Arabidopsis thaliana: one gene and its partners. The protein of the gene in region 1 interacts with the protein of each later gene in a pairwise test. Each region holds a gene or a part of one and is shown on either strand. Other genes may lie near its edges. The genes, in order: RABA1b, PLC9, AAP3 and PEX11B.

What was found.
Region 2: the proteins of RABA1b (region 1) and PLC9 interact in a protein complementation assay, tested with the Arabidopsis thaliana proteins (one large-scale study listed by BioGRID).
Region 3: the proteins of RABA1b (region 1) and AAP3 interact in a protein complementation assay, tested with the Arabidopsis thaliana proteins (one large-scale study listed by BioGRID).
Region 4: the proteins of RABA1b (region 1) and PEX11B interact in a protein complementation assay, tested with the Arabidopsis thaliana proteins (one large-scale study listed by BioGRID).

The regions. Positions count from the first base shown.
Region 1 is NC_003070.9:5,786,423-5,791,501, reverse strand, and holds RABA1b (RAB GTPase homolog A1B), read left to right. Parts: upstream 1-2,189; 5' UTR 2,190-2,354; coding exon 2,355-2,575; intron 2,576-3,583; coding exon 3,584-4,013; 3' UTR 4,014-4,343; downstream 4,344-5,079. Other genes in the region: AT1G16930 (F-box/RNI-like/FBD-like domains-containing protein), read right to left, coding at 1-255, 349-489, 595-1,515; AT1G16916 (uncharacterized protein), read left to right, coding at 4,344-4,518, 4,607-4,740. UniProt on the Arabidopsis thaliana protein: Intracellular vesicle trafficking and protein transport.
Region 2 is NC_003074.8:17,385,873-17,391,557, reverse strand, and holds PLC9 (phosphatidylinositol-speciwc phospholipase C9), read right to left. Parts: upstream 3,676-5,685; 5' UTR 3,440-3,675; coding exon 3,131-3,439; intron 3,010-3,130; coding exon 2,810-3,009; intron 2,729-2,809; coding exon 2,590-2,728; intron 2,505-2,589; coding exon 2,206-2,504; intron 2,088-2,205; coding exon 1,967-2,087; intron 1,809-1,966; coding exon 1,659-1,808; intron 1,581-1,658; coding exon 1,497-1,580; intron 1,409-1,496; coding exon 1,115-1,408; 3' UTR 598-1,114; downstream 1-597. Other genes in the region: AT3G47210 (hypothetical protein (DUF247)), read right to left, coding at 4,589-5,685. UniProt on the Arabidopsis thaliana protein: The production of the second messenger molecules diacylglycerol (DAG) and inositol 1,4,5-trisphosphate (IP3) is mediated by activated phosphatidylinositol-specific phospholipase C enzymes.
Region 3 is NC_003070.9:29,074,070-29,079,345, reverse strand, and holds AAP3 (amino acid permease 3), read left to right. Parts: upstream 1-1,955; 5' UTR 1,956-2,093; coding exon 2,094-2,187; intron 2,188-2,337; coding exon 2,338-2,571; intron 2,572-2,655; coding exon 2,656-2,749; intron 2,750-2,855; coding exon 2,856-3,070; intron 3,071-3,163; coding exon 3,164-3,303; intron 3,304-3,394; coding exon 3,395-3,753; intron 3,754-3,850; coding exon 3,851-4,145; 3' UTR 4,146-4,467; downstream 4,468-5,276. Other genes in the region: AT1G77370 (Glutaredoxin family protein), read right to left, coding at 4,704-4,759, 4,854-5,104, 5,267-5,276. UniProt on the Arabidopsis thaliana protein: Amino acid-proton symporter. Stereospecific transporter with a broad specificity for GABA, tryptophan and both neutral and basic amino acids. High affinity transport of cationic amino acids.
Region 4 is NC_003074.8:17,478,167-17,482,327, forward strand, and holds PEX11B (peroxin 11B), read left to right. Parts: upstream 1-2,354; 5' UTR 2,355-2,631; coding exon 2,632-2,819; intron 2,820-3,030; coding exon 3,031-3,526; 3' UTR 3,527-3,634; downstream 3,635-4,161. Other genes in the region: TIP5;1 (tonoplast intrinsic protein 5;1), read left to right, coding at 3,888-4,026, 4,106-4,161. UniProt on the Arabidopsis thaliana protein: Involved in peroxisomal proliferation. Promotes peroxisomal duplication, aggregation or elongation without fission.

The DNA of each region.
Region 1 (5,079 bases):
TCTTGGAATCGCTTTGATTTCGTCGATGATGTTACAGAAACTCGCACTTACTGTCAGTTTCTTGAGAGCTGCACCATTCTCTAGAAAGTACTTTGCTAATTTCCTCTTACTTGATGTTCCTGTGAGCGGTCTCCCTTCCTTTTGCATGTTAACAACGTATGGAGTCTTCAAATGAACAAACTCAAGAGATGATAGGAAACATTGTGGCACATATGAAAGATCAATCTGCTCTGTGTCTGGAAAGCAATCAAATTCCTGATAATATATAACCGAGGGAAGTTTGAGTTTTTGTTATCAAAAATCTTAATGTGATTTACATGAGGGTAGAAGAAGCAAATGAAAACTCACCATGACGAGTGAGTGTAGATTTGGGAAGCTCTCAAGGAAGGTTGGCAACATTTCCCACCAAGTATCTTCGAAGTAAGCATGCAAGCGAGACAAGTTAGAGAATTGAGGTAGTTGTTCCATTTTGCAGTAATCATGAATAACCTATGCAGCCAAAAAAACAAACAAACATGGGTTCACTGAGAAAATGTGATAAAGCCATAAAGGAAGTGTATAAGCTTAATGTTATTGAATCGAGCATATATATACCTGTAGAGTATCAGAAGATATGACCATTTCGCTGACCGTAGATAACCCAGTGAGGAATTTACCTAGCATAGCTATCTTGGAAGAATCATCTGGTTCCAATGGATCATTATATTCGACATTAAAGATAACATCGATATCTACCTTTGCAAAGGGGCCAATGTTGTGTATTATGAAGCTGTCAGATCGATGATCACAAAGATTCATATACTCAAGTCTTGGAGCATCGATTGTAACAACATGATTTTGACTTTCGTAGCGCTCAGAATCTATCTTGAAGCTTTTTAAAGACTGGGAACGCACACACACAACTTCAAGAGAATCATTGGGATCACGAACTATGGTTAACTCTTCCAAAACTGGACAACCTGATATTAGAATCTCCAGAGTCGAATCAGCATCGTACTTGACCATATCAAGATGCATAATCTTGACACAAGGCAGCGAAACAGATTCCGGATGATCCAAGGCTACGCGGTAGAGCTGTAAGTTCACCAATCTTTCACATGAATAGAGAGATAAAGGCATCTTAACTAACTCGTCATCATCATCCACCTCATTATGAACATTAAAATGACAAACTCTACGCTTAATCACAGCATTGATCCAAGACTTGAAACGAGAAGCATCGTGCTCATTAACCTCATAGATCAACTTGAATCTCTCCAAGTGTTGCTCATTTTCAGAACCCAGAAACCTATTTACGAAACTCACAAAAACATCATCATCTGGGAAGTTATTGGAATCCAAATCCAATACAGGAACATGTAACCAGAGATTTCTCCATCGTTTTGATAAAACGCTTGTGCAAACCGATTCTTTTGTGGAGAGATCTGAGAGAATCTGACATAACAAGGAATCAGGTAAATTGCTTATCCTATCGGAGTTCCTTTGCTTCTCTTTAACAGAGGTTTCATCATCCATGTCGTTTCCTTAAACTCTGAACTATATAGTTTGAGACTGAATCATGTAAATAACAAACTGAAGAATCACGAATCTGTTAGCTAAAAAAGTCAACTCATAAACTCCAGAAAGAATCAAACGATACTGAAATTACCTGTAGTACTTAAGTATTATTTATTCCCAAAGAGATAACGGCGAGAGAGGAAGAATAAGACGAAAGCACCGTCAATTTTCCGGGAAAAGGGAACATAGATCGTCTCGCTTGCTTGTTGACATCTTTGACATCTCTAAGATGCAGACAATAATAGTCAACTCAGGACATTAATCACGTAGTTTTTTTTTACTATCTTTAATATTTACATTGATTACAAATTTTAGCTAGAAAAATAATGTATGTCATGGCGTGAGTCAATTAATAATATAACCAAAGAGAAGTTAAGTTTTTGAGATATGAAATTACATTATTACTAAAAGTTAAAACGTCCTATTTCAAGAAAAAGTTTGTGTTTATATTGTTGTACTTCCCACTTTATTAGAGCTAACTAATCTAGTGATCTTATGGTGATTTAATGATCAAATTTTTAGTCTTCACCCTGCTAATACAGCGAAAACCTGTAAAAAGTAAAAACCTTTTGATATAACAACAGTCACACACGCGCCCAATAGATCAACGGACCAGATCTCGATTACAGTTACAGACTGTCTTGTCACAAGCCGTCACTTTAACACATACACCAATTTCTTCTCAGCGTTATTTCAAATCTCAGTTTACACCTTCACACTGCTGCGTCTCTCTCTCTCTCTCTCTTTCTTTCTCAGATTAATCGCTGAGAAGAAGCAACCACCTGGAGACGGCGGAGATGGCAGGGTACAGAGTGGAAGATGACTACGATTACCTCTTCAAAGTTGTTCTTATAGGCGATTCTGGAGTTGGCAAATCCAATCTCCTTTCCAGATTCACTAAAAACGAGTTCAATCTAGAGTCTAAATCCACCATTGGCGTCGAATTCGCCACTCGTACCTTAAAAGTCGATGGCAAAGTCGTTAAAGCTCAGATTTGGGACACTGCTGGTCAGGAGAGGTTCGTTTTTCGTCTTCCTCGTCTCTTCATTTCGTTCTTCGTCTCTTATTTGTATGTAAAATCGGCCTTCATGCTAGATCTTGGTATTTCACATTGAGTTTCGTGGCGTATTTTCGATTTATTCCTGGGTCAATTGGTCTCGAGTACATTGCAAATAGAAGCCACTGTCCCGGAGATCACTCTAAGCTCCTTTGCTTCCATACTTAGGTTCTCGATCTAGCAGTGGCTTTAAACGAGTTTCCATAGATCTATCGTTTTGGTGACTTTGATAGCGGACACTAGCTTTTTGATTCGTTTGTTTGACTTAATTTGAATTTATGTTACTGTGTTGGAATTGAGCTCTTTAGCCCAATCTATATGTTCTATCAAACAGTTTTGGAGTGAATGGGAGCTTAACATGAAGCTGATCTTATCTTCTCTAGGTCTAGGTTGGTGAGTGGTGACTATTCAATGTGTGATTCATTCACTGGCTTATGTGCTTGTTTTTAGTTTTTTGGTTGTGAATGTGTTCTGTGTTCAGCAGCCTTTTACTAGAGAGTCTCTCCGTTGACTTTTGTACTCAAATATTGCTCGTTTGTCTGAAGTTGACTGCATTTGACCACCATTGACGGATGGAATCTTGAGGTAGCTAATAATGTAGATTAAAAAAAGTGCCCTTCTTCTGAAATAAGTCTTTGGGTTTTGACTCAATATGACCATGATTGCTTTGATGGAATCTGAATTGGATGGATGAACAAGAGCATGCGATTTTTTCTGGTTAATGATCACTAGAATCACGAACACTTGCATAGACTATTGTTAGAATGCTACAAAGGACTTGCTCTGTTTGCTAGTTGAGTTGCCTCCATTGAGACGATTGTTTTACTTCCTTCTTTGACCTACCAATTTAATTATCACTTTTGGCAAAACATAAAAAGCTTATAAGAATTTTCTTCTCTGACACCTTTTGTTCTGTCAACCACTGATTCTCGCCACAATTTGAAGACTCACTTTTGCTTCTCGTCTCAGGTACCGTGCCATCACTAGTGCATATTACCGTGGAGCCGTGGGTGCACTCCTAGTATATGATGTAACTCGCCGTGCAACATTTGAGAACGTAGATCGGTGGTTAAAGGAGCTCAAGAACCACACAGATCCAAACATTGTAGTGATGCTGGTTGGTAACAAATCTGATCTCCGCCACTTGCTAGCTGTTCCTACAGAAGACGGGAAGTCCTATGCGGAACAAGAATCGCTCTGCTTCATGGAAACATCTGCCCTTGAAGCTACCAATGTGGAGGACGCATTTGCAGAGGTGTTGACACAAATTTATCGCATCACAAGCAAGAAGCAAGTGGAAGCTGGTGAAGATGGGAACGCCTCTGTCCCGAAAGGTGAGAAAATCGAAGTTAAAAACGATGTCTCTGCGCTGAAGAAACTCGGGTGCTGCTCAAATTGAAGCCTTTTTTTGTTTTCACTGTTGAGAGAGAATTATAACCCCCATGGTCCATTGTTTGATTATGTCCTTGTTTTGTAACACTATCGACATTTGTATGAGTTTTAGACCATACACTACATAATGTTTATTTAACTTTATTTCAAGAATTGTTGGTGAACCAGGCTCAATATGCATCAGTTAAGCAGAGGAATCTGGATCTAAAATGCCGACGTTCATCTTCGATAGTTGGATCGTCGCTCTCCTTGTCCTCCAGTTTTGATTCTAATTTCCTCTGTCTTTGTAATCTTCAAAATCCAAAACCACAACTTCAGAACCGGGTCGGGTTGCGTTATGTTGTCGGGTTTAGGTCTCATTTTGTCACTAAACTGCAAACGACGCCGTTCCTTTAGAGAAGAAGAAGAAGATAGGAGCGAGCGAGCGAGCGAGCGATTAGAAGAAGAAATGATGGAGGAAGGACCACCAGCTCCAAAGATGCTTCGAATGGTCTACTTCGTCGGCGCCGGATGTAAGTTCGCTTTATGCTGCTTCATATTTTTTTCTATTTTGATCTCGATTGAATCCAACATTCCAATAAAATATAAAATATTTCGCAGTTCTATGTACATTCGCGATCAATAAGTGGCGTGAGATGGAGAGAAACTCGCTTCTGAAACAGGAGCAGGAGAAGAATCAACAAGGAGATGTTGGTTTATTGCCTAGAGATTCGGTTCAGAAAGCTATGAAATGATGATCACTCTCTTCTTCATCTTTTCTTGTAATTTTGTTTTGATCTTGTGATTTTAGTATCGTTGACCTAAAGTTTGCATCTTTTTTTAATGAACCCTAGAAATCTGATACTCGTACTCATTGGTTTCTGGCTTTGTGCTTAATTTAAAGATTGCTGCTTTCTGAACTCAATTTGATCAAAGGGTTTCAATAAGTCACTGCTTAAAATCTCTTACGGGTTTAGCATTTTCGAGCATTTTAATGCAATTCCCGACCGTGGATGTAATCAACAACAATCACCATTACCAAATCCAAGTGAGTGAGTTCCGGTTGATCGATTACCAATTATCTGGAGAAATCG
Region 2 (5,685 bases), on another chromosome or scaffold:
GTTCTCCTTTTCAATTTCATTGAAATGAGCTAGACGATGTCTTCTTAGTCGTCTTCCTGTCTAAGCCTTTTCCAACGTTGACTCTTTACTTATCCTCTTGCTTCTCTCTCTCATCTTCTTGCACTTTCTTGTTCTTATCCCAAGCTTTGAGTCTTTCAGGTACGACATCATTTTATTGGATCATTACTCTTACTTCATTGGTGGTTTTTGTTGGTCTAAAGAATTTAATTATATCAATATTCTAGTTTGCATTGACAATGCAAAATCTTATAGCTTAAAGTTTATTTAATCTACATTTCTCCGATTAAAGATCGCCGGTGACTATTTTTAAACTCTGATGAATGATAAGACCGAGGTAAAGTCACGAGTTTTACGTATAATCTAGGAAAATGGAAAACAATGTGACATAAAACGAGAAAGTCACTAGATGATGAAAACTTAACGGTCAGAAGATGACCAAGCAAATAGTGACATGTGGCCTAGCATTGTCACCACATTTGTCAATGTTGGAACTAGATCCACTATGAAAAAAATCCAAAACCAATAGACCAAATAAGATCTGCTATGAAAAATAGGATACCTGGAGGCTGGAGTACTCGGAACTAGATCCGCTTTTATTTTTACTTTTACAAATATATTTTTAACATGACCACAAAATGAAGAATGACTAATTTACTTCATCACTAAGTTTCAGTTCCATCAAAAGTTGTTACCCTGAACGGCTGAACCTAAGAAAGTATGCCCCCCAAAAAAATGTATATGTTTTGAACCAAGCTCGAGAAGAACTTGCAGAAGAATGAAAAATAGTTTTTGAAATAAAAAGACAGTAATTCAGTAAAAGAAATTCAAAAATAAAAGTGAAAGAAACTTGAAGTGACAACAAATAACAGGAAAAAGAGAAAACTTTATTTTCGTCTCCAAAGTAAAATGCCAATGCCAAGTTTTTCTGGACCAAATACCTTATTTCCGTATCACAATCTAAGCTTGCCTAAACCCTTTCCCCCTTCCAGGTGGAACTTGAACTAGGGGTCCTAGAAAGCGTAACTTTGAAAGGTTTTAAGAAACACCACTAGATCAAGAGCCGCCACTTGGTAATGAGAAAGAAACTTGTACGCTAAGACCACTTAAAACGTGTGAGCAGCATTGTCGAGCTGCATGCCTTACCTCGCTCATCATAGAGCGGAACAGCACGAATTCCTTCTATTAGTTCAGAAACCGGTAGACAAGTCTGACCACAAAAATAATCTGGAGTTGATACTTCGTAGTCATAAACTTCAAAACTAATCAAAGCAAGGTCAGGATAGGTCAAGGGAAATGTGAATTCTTCTCCCCAAGTAGGTTTCCATTCGTTGTTTTTCACTGTCGTGTTCATAATCTTCTCATCATGGGGTACACCGGCAATACTGATCTGTGCATTTGCGATTAAAGAACCAAAATCAAACTCATTTCCATACCCAAGAAATTAAAGTATCATCTCCTGATTTAGATTTTTGTACCCTAACGTATAAGTCCGGCTTAGACAGTCGACCTATCCGCTTCTTGAAGTCCACAATCCATCCATCTCCCATGTAGATTTTGACCTGCAAGATATAATGTCATCACCCATCCTAAGTGAGAAATAGAACCATAGTATAATTGTTGTAGGATGACAAACAAACCTTTAATGTCTTCACCACCACTGGATTCTCTGTTGGATAGAAAACTCCACTAGAACCTGCATTCAAAAGGAAATTCGGCTTCTTGACGTAACCGCACCCTCCATTTGCTCTAAACATCCCTTGCATCAACCAAAGTTTTTCTTTGTCGTCCTGTAGTACAACATAATGTATTCATGAAACTGATTCCAATAGGTAAGCTCTCCACACAATGCGTACATGCTTGTGCAACCAGTACTGGTTATGAGCAAGAGAAACCAGATAAAGAGAGAGAGAGAGAGAGAGAGAGAAAGAAACGTTTAGAGTCACACCTGCCTGCTTAGTGCAATCATTTGTGCACCGTGCATCCAAGCTCTCTGAGGTTTATAAGGGGGGTTGCTCAACAAGTTGCGTTTTTTTGGACGTGTCCGCAAGAATTTATTTTGGGTGAAGCTGTTTATTGTCAAGAATTTCCTAATCAGTTATATTTTAGTATTTGAGAGGCAACTACTCTCAACATGTTGAGTAAGGGTTTTGGTATGTAGTATAAACTTATTTAACTCAACAATACCTTATAACATCTCTTTCGTACCATCCTGGTTGTTGGACGTCGTCTGTTAATGCTTTTTGTAGCATGCCTCTTGGTTCCACTGCATGAAAGCCAACAACACTCTGGTAATTCTTATCTGTTGACCCCTCTTGTATCTCAAGCTCAACCCCATTCTCAACGGCTTTAGCATATAACAATTTTGTTGGTGGTCTTCGTGATATTAATATCTTATTTTGTAGTTCTGCTGGTGAAGGAAATTCCTCCAAGCTTTGTTGGGGGTCTTCGTGGTATACCATATCACCAAATGTCTGATCTATCATCTACATATGCAACAATATATCATACCAAAAGAATTAGAATACGTAATAATATGAGAAAAACGAGGAGAAAAAGAACATTATAAACCTGAGTAACTTTGGATTGAAGATCCGGTTTCAAGCTGTCCTTGATCGTAATTATCACGGGATAACTCCTCGTGGGGGTAAAGGCATGCTGTTTGATAGCATCCAAACACTCTTGCAATTCTAGAGGCTTTTCAAAGTTCCTATCAAGTTCATAATTAAACCAGAAGCTCAAAGCAAGCTGTATAAGTTTTCATGAAGTAAAGAGGCAGAACAGAATATACCATTTTGGCCTAACGCATATGCCGTCTTTACCAAAAGGCAAAAGATCTAGTTCAACCACTCTCACACCTTGTTTAAGTGCATCAATGATGGGCTCAATGCTGTATAATCTCCCAAAGACATTATTTCCCGTAAAGTAGGATTTGAGGCTAGTGTGAATGAAGTAATGCGATAGTGGAGCATTCATGTCACGATGACGAACCTGAAGAACAGAAACCTAACTCTTACAAAATGTGTTCTTATTTCCAAAAACAAACCAGAAGTAACGACCAACCTATTTCTTTGGTTAATTTTGGAACAGAAAAAAAAGAAAGAAATATCACCTGGTCACTGATCGGGGGATTGAGCTCCGTAGAAAACAGAAACTCGTTCAAGTGAGGAAGCTCGAGAATCGTCAAGTTGCGGAACTTAAGAATATCACATTTTCGGCTTTTTAACTCCCTATCGATTTGCTCTGCAGCGTTCAAGCCGGCACCGTCTTCGTCCTTCTCAGTATCCAACAATTTGATGAACGTAGGTAGCAAATTCGGCATATCGTCATCATATCCATGATATTTATTCCTGAAATAATTTGGGACGCGACCCGGCTGATTCGCCTGTTTCATCTCAAACTTCTTTCTTAAATTCACCATATTGTGAAAAATGGACGAAACCAAAGTATCCCTCGCTTTTTTTAGTTGGTCAACCTAAGACGACTTCAAGAAAGATTTTGCGGTTTGTGAGGTACAAGCAAGCATAGATCCAATGGATAATTGCTAACCCATTTTCTCCTTACATCATTGACCCTCAAGTGTTTTTTCTTTTCTTTTTGAAATTTAAATAGTTAAAATTGGTTTCATTGGTTTGTCTTTTTTTTTGTTTTGTTTATGCGTTGGGCTCATGTGTTTCTGTTGGAACGTCACCGTGGGAACATGATGTGTATTATTAACTTTTTGTTTTGATTGGTTTGTACGTAGTTTTTTTAATAATGTGCCAGTTGTTTTAGACTATGTACTATGATTTTATTTTTTTAACACTTCACCTAATCTTTTCTTTTATCTATCTATTAATTCAATATGTAATCAATAATTTTGTTTAGTAAATATCAACATGTATCATACTTTACCATTTTATTACATAGTAATCATCAACATCCTAGTTGGCTTGTTTACCACTTTTACTTTTATTTTCTTTTGTGTATATGTTTTATGATTATATATTAATAATAATTATCGATTAAAATTAAGTTAAATTAAAAAGGTTATCGTTCAAATCCATTTCACTAAAAAAATGAGTTTTTTTGTCCTATATTCAAATCAAATGCAACAACTCTCTCTTTATAAAATGAAAATGATGAATTTTGATATAAGAAAAATAGAGACTCGACTTCGATAAAGTTTTGGACTTCACTGAAAATTAGCATGAAGTTATATCCCGTTCACCCTAAGTCAGGGCAGCTGCATGACAAGTTCAAGACTTCTCATAGCGCAAGATAATCGAGAAGACAAAGCAAAGTCAAATTTATTTCATCAAAGGAAAGTAGAAAAGCTTTATTTCATGCAAATTAACAAGAGTAACAAAATACTTAAATACATATATAGGATAACATCATAAAACGAAAAAGATAGCAATAACACAAGTTACACAACTGATAAAAAACAGGGAACAATGATGTTTCTGTAGAAGATAAAAACGACTTTAATTCCATTGTTTCTACATAAGCTCGAGCATGTTTGCTTTGCCTGGAGGACGTTCCATCATGCGGTTTTGCTGTTGCTGTTGCTAAGGTAGAAGAATGGTATTTAGAATCGATAAATTGGACGAAAGCGCAATGCCACAAAATTTCTTGGTGACAGTAAAAAACTTCGACATATTGAGTACCATTTTGAGGTGTTCTCGTTAATTTCCACAAACACATTCCGTAAATAACTTGCATGTATGTCAAACACTACATCTTTACATATAGTTTTGAAGAACTTTGATACCTCCTTCTCGCTGCCAAAGTAGTTCTCTATGATCCGGCGACGACTTAAGAATGTGGCATCTTCCTTGCCGTTTAGAAGGCATCCCATGAAAACCACATAGCTTGTTATGTGGTTGGTACTCTTTGCGTAAAATTGTTCAAAGGCGACGCAATTGAGCAAGATTGAGATAATGAACCCATCCAATCTTAACACTGGTATTTGAAGCCTGTTCTTCTTTAACCTTATATCTAACATCGAATCTGCACCACTCCTTAAACTGAAATCTATTCCTTGGAGAGAAAGTCTTGTAGCCGACAATAGCAATGTAAGACCGGAGGATGATTTCTTTCTAGATTTACCCTTAGTGAGTTGGAAATCTTCGTATCCATCCATAGGTAAGAAGCTCATACGAATGAGGTCAAGAAGATGTTTTGCGTTGAAGTTTCTGTGTTTGACCCAATATCTTTCTGGTTTATCCATTGAGAGGTTGAAGAAGCTAAAAGCCATCCTGTTTAGATCACCAGGTACACCTATCTCTGATTTGTCAAATAAAGTTTGAAGAACAAAGAAAGGGACCTGGTTTTCCAAGAGGAGGAGATCACTCTGAATAGACGGAAGAATCCATGGGATGGTGAGAATTGGATCCTCACTCTCATACAATTCTATCTTTCTTGACACGATAAGTAACAACATGAGAATGAAGCACCCATCAAGAATCATCATATACACTAGTTCATGTGGACTTCCCTCAAGACCCTCAGAATAAGATTTCCTTATCTCATCTTCCCAATCCACTACAGCGTTAAACAAGACATCTCTATCCACGCTTGCCGTGCGTAAGAAAAGGTGTAGAAACCGAAGCTTGTGCTGTTGAATCATTTCGAGGTGTTTTCTCCCGTGATGGTAAGGACCAATGGAAACAACTTTGGGCTTAT
Region 3 (5,276 bases), about 23 Mb from region 1:
ATGTATACTCTTACAAAGATAATAAAAATAATAATGAAGATAACACTTAATAAGGGATCAAGTTGAAGAAAGTGCAGTTGCTATGATGAAAGGCGTTTCTCATTCATTCTTTTAATTCGTTAATCGACATTGAGGATGGCTGTGTGTGTATTGTGTGCGCTTAAATCAAGTGGATGATCTTAACCAAAGAACCATATTCTTTTTCATGATCTCCTAGATCTTTGTTATTACTTTTAATTATCTTTCAATGTAAACATGGAAAAAAAAATAAAAAAACTGGTACATTTTGTATGCATTTTTGCGGTTATAAACTTTGGAATTGTAAAGAATGAACTAGATTTTAACCCGCGGTACACCGCGGAGACAATTTATTTTTTTAAATTAGTATATATAAAATTTTACAAATTATGTCTATCTATAAAATATTTTTATTTTATAGTTTATAATTGTTATTAAGTAACGTCCTTCTAAACCCGTTCCACCAAACTCGTCCTGTAAAAATAAACCGCGGTACCCCGCTAATTTAAATTTATAATTAAAATAAATATTTTACGGGATTGCAATTGTGTTTTAGTTTGTCAAACAAAATTTTGTTTTAAATAGTTGTCGAAATGTAGTTCAAATTTTGGAGACATAAGATTTAGTGAATAGATAAGAAATATATTTAGTTGCGTTTCGCTCATTTTAAGGGATTGCAATTGTCTTTTGGGTTGTCAAACATTTTTTGTTTTAAATAGTTGTCGAAATCTATTTCAAATTTTGGAAAAATCTGCGTGATATATGGGATTGGAATATATTTCGAATGTTTTTTTATTTGTTAATCAATTTATTGCTAAAAAAACAATAATTAAAAGCCAATGGTAGCCATTGTAAATAAATTCCAACTCCAGGATTTATTTCACAAAATGACTGCAACAATGTATATATAGATTCTATTTTTATGAATATAATTCCCTTTATATTTGGAGACTATTTCCTTTGAATGATGACTTGTCTGAATACAAATCTTCTCGTAAGTCCTTAAAGGATATTTGGTTTCCCACGAATCAAGCCAATACAAGTTTGTGTATGTCATTTATGTTTAAATGAGTTTAGTTGGCAAAGTAATCAAAATATTTCATTTCGAGAAGAACATATAGCTTACACGCCTCATAAGTTAGTTACCTACAGAAACTTATATGGTGGGGTGATATACTTTCGGATTCTAGGTAAGATATAGTATATGTGCGTTACTATTGCTCATACTATAAAAATCACCTTTTGGTTTTGAGTTATCATTTTGAAATCTACACATGATTGCGTGTACTCATTATTTAAAGTCGGCATAGATTTCTCCATATATATGTCATGATTCCATGAATGTTCTTTTAACATCTTAATGCGATAACACTTTACATTGAAATATTCAAGAAAAAACCAAGCTGTTTTCTAAATAAATTTAGTTTGTCCACGGTTAATAAAATTTAAAATTAGCGAAATACGTAAATAATCAAATGATATAACCAAAATGCCTATTATTTTTAAAACAACATTTTATTTTCTCTAATCTCATAAAATACTCTAATAAAATCTAGTTGTAAGTGAAAATAACACTAAGCTTCAAACACACACGTACATGAATGTTTGTTTTTTTCTTTCAAAAAAGCTGAACAATGACATTTTAAGTCCAAATGAAAACGATGGTATCATCTTGGACTTCCAATTTTCCATTGCCCATATTTTCTCTTTTCTTTTGTTTTTATCCAATTGGTATCGAATCATTCATATAAAATTATAAATCATGAAGTCAAATTTTTCAATAGTAACACTTGAGTAATAGTGGTCCTACCAACTTTTTACCAAGACAGATATATTTTTTTTAATACACTTTTTACCTTTTACTGTGTTTGCCTCAAATGAGTGTTTTTACCAGTTTCTGTGTATATAAATCTGCACTCCACTCTCAGTTTATCTTCATCCACAAGACAGTTCTTTAACAAAGTCATTAAACATTTCCCTTACCTTCTAAAGATCAACTCTTTCAAACACTTACTCTGCATGTAACTTCATAGATTGAACGAAGAACCAAAAAAACAGAGCAAAACAAACAAAAGATGGTTCAAAACCACCAAACAGTTCTCGCCGTCGATATGCCACAAACCGGCGGCTCCAAGTACTTGGACGACGACGGGAAAAACAAAAGAACTGGTAACAATGTTTCTCTCTTTCTCTTTAATTCATATTGAGACTTGGTTCTCTAATTATTCAAAAAAATATTAATTTGAACTCGAAACCTGCTCTGATTTAGTTATGTTGAAAAAACGAGAAAGTTGAAAGTTTTTAAATTTTGGGTTTTAGGGAGTGTTTGGACGGCGAGTGCACACATAATAACGGCAGTGATAGGTTCGGGAGTTTTGTCACTAGCGTGGGCTACGGCGCAGCTAGGTTGGCTCGCCGGACCGGTGGTGATGTTGCTCTTCTCTGCCGTCACTTATTTCACTTCTTCTCTTCTTGCTGCTTGTTACCGCTCCGGCGACCCTATCTCCGGCAAGAGGAACTACACTTATATGGATGCTGTCCGATCAAATCTCGGTAAATACAAAACTTCAAAGTAGAAATCGGACAATGGAGATCAGATCAGAACAGAGCATTAACATTTTTCATTGTTCTGTATAGGTGGCGTGAAGGTGACGCTATGTGGGATTGTTCAGTATCTTAATATCTTTGGTGTTGCTATTGGCTACACAATTGCTTCAGCTATAAGCATGATGTGAGTGTTCTCACTAATTAACTCTTAAAACTACGAAGTTAGGTAATGGACCAAATAGGTTTTGATGATAATAAAAAATAAACAAAATTTTGTTTTTGAAAAACAGGGCAATAAAGAGATCAAACTGTTTCCACAAGAGTGGAGGGAAAGATCCATGTCACATGAACAGTAATCCTTACATGATAGCTTTTGGATTAGTCCAGATTCTATTCTCTCAGATTCCAGATTTTGATCAACTTTGGTGGCTCTCAATCCTCGCCGCCGTTATGTCCTTCACTTATTCCTCAGCCGGTCTCGCCCTCGGCATAGCCCAAGTTGTCGGTTCGTTTCTTGAACCATAAAGCTTCTAGGGTCTTAAATAAGAACTTTCATAGGTAAAAAACTAATAGGTTTTATGTGTTTTGGTTTCATCAGTTAATGGGAAGGTGAAGGGAAGTCTCACTGGGATTAGCATAGGAGCAGTAACAGAGACACAGAAGATATGGAGGACCTTTCAAGCTCTTGGAGACATTGCTTTTGCTTACTCTTACTCCATTATCCTCATCGAGATTCAGGTACTTATACCTTCTTTACAAGTCTTGATGATCAAAGCCATTAATTACTGGTCCCATCATGAAGCTTTTTTTATTCTGGGATCTGAAACAGGACACAGTGAAGTCACCACCATCAGAAGAGAAGACGATGAAGAAGGCAACACTTGTGAGCGTCAGTGTAACGACTATGTTCTATATGTTGTGTGGATGTATGGGATATGCAGCCTTTGGAGACTTGTCTCCGGGAAATCTCTTAACCGGTTTCGGGTTTTATAATCCTTATTGGCTTCTTGACATTGCAAATGCAGCCATTGTGATTCACCTTATTGGTGCATACCAAGTCTATTGCCAACCTCTGTTTGCTTTCATCGAGAAGCAAGCTTCCATTCAATTCCCTGATAGTGAGTTCATTGCAAAAGATATCAAAATTCCAATTCCTGGTTTCAAGCCTCTCCGCTTGAATGTCTTCAGGTACAAATCTTGCCTTTAAACTAATGGGATCTGAGTTTTAAACATGATGTGTATGTAATAATCAAAGCTTCTGTGTGGCGTGGAATGGCTTACTCAGGTTGATATGGAGGACAGTGTTTGTGATCATAACGACAGTTATCTCAATGCTTCTTCCGTTTTTCAACGACGTTGTGGGTCTGCTCGGGGCACTAGGGTTTTGGCCATTGACGGTGTATTTTCCAGTGGAAATGTACATCGCGCAGAAGAAGATACCTAGATGGAGCACCAGATGGGTTTGCCTTCAAGTCTTCAGCTTAGGGTGTCTAGTAGTTAGCATTGCTGCAGCTGCAGGGTCCATAGCTGGAGTACTTCTTGATCTAAAGTCCTACAAGCCATTTCGAAGCGAATACTGATCAACTTGAATAGTAGCCAATTCAAAGCGATGACTAAGTCAGTTTTAAACACAATGGATTTATCAAGAACAGTCAAGAGAACCAAGAACCATGAATTTGGGAATTTTGATCAGCTTTTTTTTATATAGATAGAAGCAATAATGCTGTTAGTTCTTCTCTATAATCTTCTCTGTACCCTGAAGGCAAGAATTGTAGTCCTAATGAGTAAATCTTCGATTAATGACAGAGTCATGTGCTGCAACAGAATCATGAACTAGCACCATAATAGTATATTACCATTGTGGTAAAATTTCAATAACAAGTTCTTGTACTTGCTCTTCTTTCCATGATCTGATATTTGCCGTATGAACCATTCACTAAGGCACACAAGTATGGATTATTTAAGCGAAACAATCACCAGAGCAGTGCAGTAACAAAAGATCAAGACTTTATCAATGCCATCATAACTTACATAACTGAGTCATACATATCAATTCGCTTATTCAGTCTACAACTAGCAAAGATTTCTAATTCCTGTAAATCACATACTGTAGATTCCACATTCGAGGTCCTCAAATATCAACTTGCAGCAAGAAGCTTTTGCAACTGACCACTCTCCAAAGCAGCTCCAAGATCTGAAGCAACAAGATAAACAGCCAAGGCTTGTGAGTTACAAGGGAAATTTGGACAAAAGAATGAAACTTGGAGGAGATAGTGAGCTCATCATACCATCTGATCCACCAATATGCTTGCCGTTAACAAAAACTTGCGGGACAGTACGACGACCAACGAATTCTAAAAGCTCATACTGGATTTGATCTCCGTCCTCTGCAAAAACAAATCTCTCAGAAGTTTTAAGAAACAGTTCAATTCTCATAAACAGTTGGGTGAGAAAGAAAGTGATACCTCTCTGATCAAGCTCCACAACAAATGGCTCTTCCTTAAGTTGGCTGAATATACGTTTCGACCGCAAACAATACCTAACACATCCAAAACAAAATTCACAACTTTCAACACAAAGTCTTGGAATTTCGAATTCCGCCATCGTGCCAATGAATAAGGAAAGCTAGATATGAACCAAAACTTGGAAAGTTGCCTAAATTGCAAATTTCAAATTAGGAGAAAGAGTGAAATTTAATTACGGGCAGTAGG
Region 4 (4,161 bases), on another chromosome or scaffold:
AGTGGCTTAGAGTAAATCACATTTTAACAATGAAAACATCAATTAATCATTTAAATTAAGAGTGTCCATTGAATACGTTTCCAATAGTAAAAATACCTGATCATTCACAAATTATCAGTGGCGGACAAATAATCTAAATATTTAGTTTGAACTTTGATGTAAGAGGTCTTTATCAAAGAAAAAACTTTAATGTACGTCTGTTATAAAACAATGGGAATTCAAATTGGAAAAATATTATCCCTAAAAGTTTTGATGAATATATATAAGTTACTTTTAGAATATGGATATGGTAGGATGTGATCATCGCATGATGTACTGGGAGCTGCAAAACGCCATCCAAACCAGCACTCATGGGCATGGCCGCCCACGTGCCACGCCGTTCTTCAACTCTGACGACTCTGAAACTTCTCAAAATCATGGAACTACACAAAGTTGGTGTGATAAGGGCATTTTAGTCAACACAACGAGTTCTCATCTTGGCCCACACACATTACCTCAGAAGTTTTGGAAAACATAAGAAGGGTAGTTACGTAAGTTTAGAGGTCATTATGGAGGGAAATGGCATATTCGCATATACCGAAGGATTATACTTAACGTGCAGTGGATATTCTATCAACTTGTCCGGGCCCATATTGGGGCCCATTTGGTGCCACGTTTTTTGTACGGAACCGCCCGACGTGGTAATAATTGTGGATGTTGTTCTTTAACAGGATCGATCCTTTGATGACGAGGCGACCAATTGTCTTGAATTGATTCTAGCCTTGGGTTCGAACCGACGTGGTGTTATTTGATTATTATATTTGGTTTCAGTGTCATACACTCTACACGAGCCTCCATTTCAAATTTAATAACAAATCTTTGTTAGGTCATATTGTCTAGCTAATATAACAATGCGACTAGCAGAATGTATGTACTACATAATCAGATTTTATATATTCTTGATAATCTCTTACAGATTTTTTATAACAACTGATTATATGTAATATATGAGTTTAGTGTCAAAGAAAATTATGATAATATTTTTAGAATCTTGAAAAATTAATAACAAGTTATTTACGTATGGCTGTGGCTGCTTCATTAGTCATTACGTTAGTCTTTTGAAATTTTCATGACCACAAGAAAATATTTCTTCCGGTTTTGAGATTTTTCGTAACAAACAAAATTGAATAATCGATGTACATCACTAACTTCTACGTGGCTTGTGACCAAGACAAATGACTGTATAAAGAAAAGAAGTCGTCGTTAGGGGGAACTCATTTTTTATATTTCTAGGGCTGATATTTGATTTGACAAAAAATATTGTCCAATTATATGAAAAAGTATTACTTAACAATTCTTCTAACCATTATAATGAAAACATTTCTAGGGCTGATATTTTAGTTTTTTGTAAGAAAATCATGAAATGCATTTTGTTTTGTTTGTTTTATTACATGGGCCAAGATATGAACTCTCAATTTCCAAATACAGAGACAGCTGAAGATCAAAGGATAAGGAGTATTTTCTTTTTCTGTATACGTTTCTTGGTTTCATATGAACAAAATTGATTATGAGAAAAAGAAACAACCATTAGAAATATTTATTTTATCTAGCTATCTTCAATTATTTTGCCTAACTTGATGTGTCCTTTAGGCTTTAAAAAAAAAACTTGATGTGTCCTTTTAAGTGACACATCAATGAACCATATGTATAGTCTCTTGTTGTTTTATAAAGATCGATTGAATTTGATTTTCCTCTCTATCTATACGTTTTTGTTTGTTTAAAAATGTCAAAAATTTGGGTATCCAGGATGTTCGAACGCAGGACACGTATGAAGTGACGTCTTTCACCGCCGTAAATCTTTGGATTGACAGTCCGGTAAAAACAGATTAATAGCTTGATAGTCCAAAACGCACGTATAAAAGTTTTTGCATGTTGAAAATATTCGTATCCACACAACATTAGAGATCAATCATGAAACCGATATATTGAAGGTCACCCGACGTCAAATTTCCCCTGAAAGGGACACCTCAAAATTACGTGGTTCGTGTAATCTTTTTTCCTTTAAGATAGGGATCGGATTATGCAGTATAAAATTAAGCAAATCGTATTTGGTGATATATCGGTTCTAATGCATAACATCTTTTATATTCACACAATGAAATAGCTATTTGTTTTCAGTTTCGAGCTAAAGCCCAAGCTCCAGCCCAAATCAAACCCATTTGTACAAAGAACCTCACTCATCTATTTGTGCACAAATTCTCGGATTTCTCCAACGCTCTCAATCATTTTATAAAAATTAGAATTATCTTCAATCTCGATATACGAACCTAAATAATTGAAAACATTTTTTTTCTTTTTATGTATTTTTCTTTTTTATCAAATTTCTTTTTATGTATATAAAATATTTGTGAAAGTTTCTTCCACACATATAAAAGATTAAATTTCTTTTTTTATCCCAAGCTTGAATATCAAAACATGAGACAACAAGAGCAAGTATTAGCCACCACAAAGCAATCATCTTAAAACTCAAACCCCAAAACAAACAAAAGACAAAACCCGATTGTTTCGAGCACAAACGTCACTTGTGGTTTACATCGTCTTCATCATCTCCATAACTTCATATCTCCTCTCCTTCCGCTGCCACCGTTAGCGATGTCTTTGGACACTGTGGACAAACTGGTGGTGTTCTTGGCCAAGAGAGACGGAATAGACAAGCTTGTGAAGACATTCCAATACGTGGCCAAGCTCGCGTGCTGGCATGTTGAAGCCACACGACCCGAAGCCGCCGATAGGTTCAAGAAGTGGGAGGTCGCCTCCGGTCTCAGCCGCAAAGCCTTCAGGTCCCACATCTTTTTAATATTAATCACTTTATCGACAAAGTGGCATCATCGTAAATATAGTTTAATAGATGAAATGAAATGAAATGTTTTAGTCACTTCTTGATTAATATCTTATCTCATCTAGCATATTTGAATAGTGACTAGTACGATACACTTTATATTACAAGAAAAATATAATTGAATAGTGATTATGGTCGAATTATGCGAACAGGACCGGGAGATCTCTCACGGGGTTCAATGCGCTGAGACGAAACCCCGGGGCAACCCCGATGATCCGTTTCTTGGCGGTCCTAGCCAATTCAGGGGAAATGGTTTACTTCTTCTTTGATCATTTTCTTTGGTTATCAAGAATTGGTTCAATAGACGCCAAGCTCGCCAAGAAAATGAGTTTCATATCCGCTTTTGGCGAATCTTTCGGCTACACTTTCTTCATCATCATTGATTGCATCTTCATAAAGCAAAGACTCAAATCCTTAAAAAAGCTCCAGCATTCGACCGATGAACCGAAAGAAGAAATCGGCGCCAAAATTAGCGAGATTCGGGGAGATATAGTAATGAGGTTGATGGGAATTTCAGCCAACGTTGCGGATTTACTTATAGCATTGGCAGAAATTCACCCAAACCCCTTTTGTAACCACACCATTACACTCGGTATAAGCGGTTTAGTTTCAGCTTGGGCCGGTTGGTATAGGAACTGGCCATCGTGAGATGTAATAAAATCAAATGTTTGTTGTTTTGAATGAACGTATCAAACGTGTAATGTAACTCACTTGAATATATGAAACATTTCTATTTTACATTATCTATAGTCAAATCGAAATCAAACAAAACTAAGGGTATACAAAAGTATAATCCACATACGTGGGGGACATTTATGAAATTCATAAAACTTGGTAACTGTAAAATAGTAACTTCCCACTCTCTCACCCTCTTCACTGGGACGGTTATTTTTTTTTTTAAATTCATTTGCATCAAAAGTCGTTACCTTCCAGTAATATTTATAGATTTATAACGATGCAATACTCACTAAAGAAACAGAAACAGAGATAATTTTTTCGAAAGAAATTGATGAGAAGAATGATTCCAACATCGTTTTCAAGTAAGTTTCAAGGAGTACTAAGTATGAATGCGTTGAGATGTTATGTATCAGAGTTTATCTCAACCTTCTTCTTCGTCCTCGCAGCCGTTGGTTCTGTCATGTCTTCAAGTAATTACTCTGTTTCTTGATGAGTTTGATCCTTTTTTGCAATAAGAAGAAATTGTTAACCTGTGTTTTTTCTTATCAGGGAAATTGATGGCTGGTGATGTGTCTGGTCCGTTTGGTGTTTTAATACCGGCGATT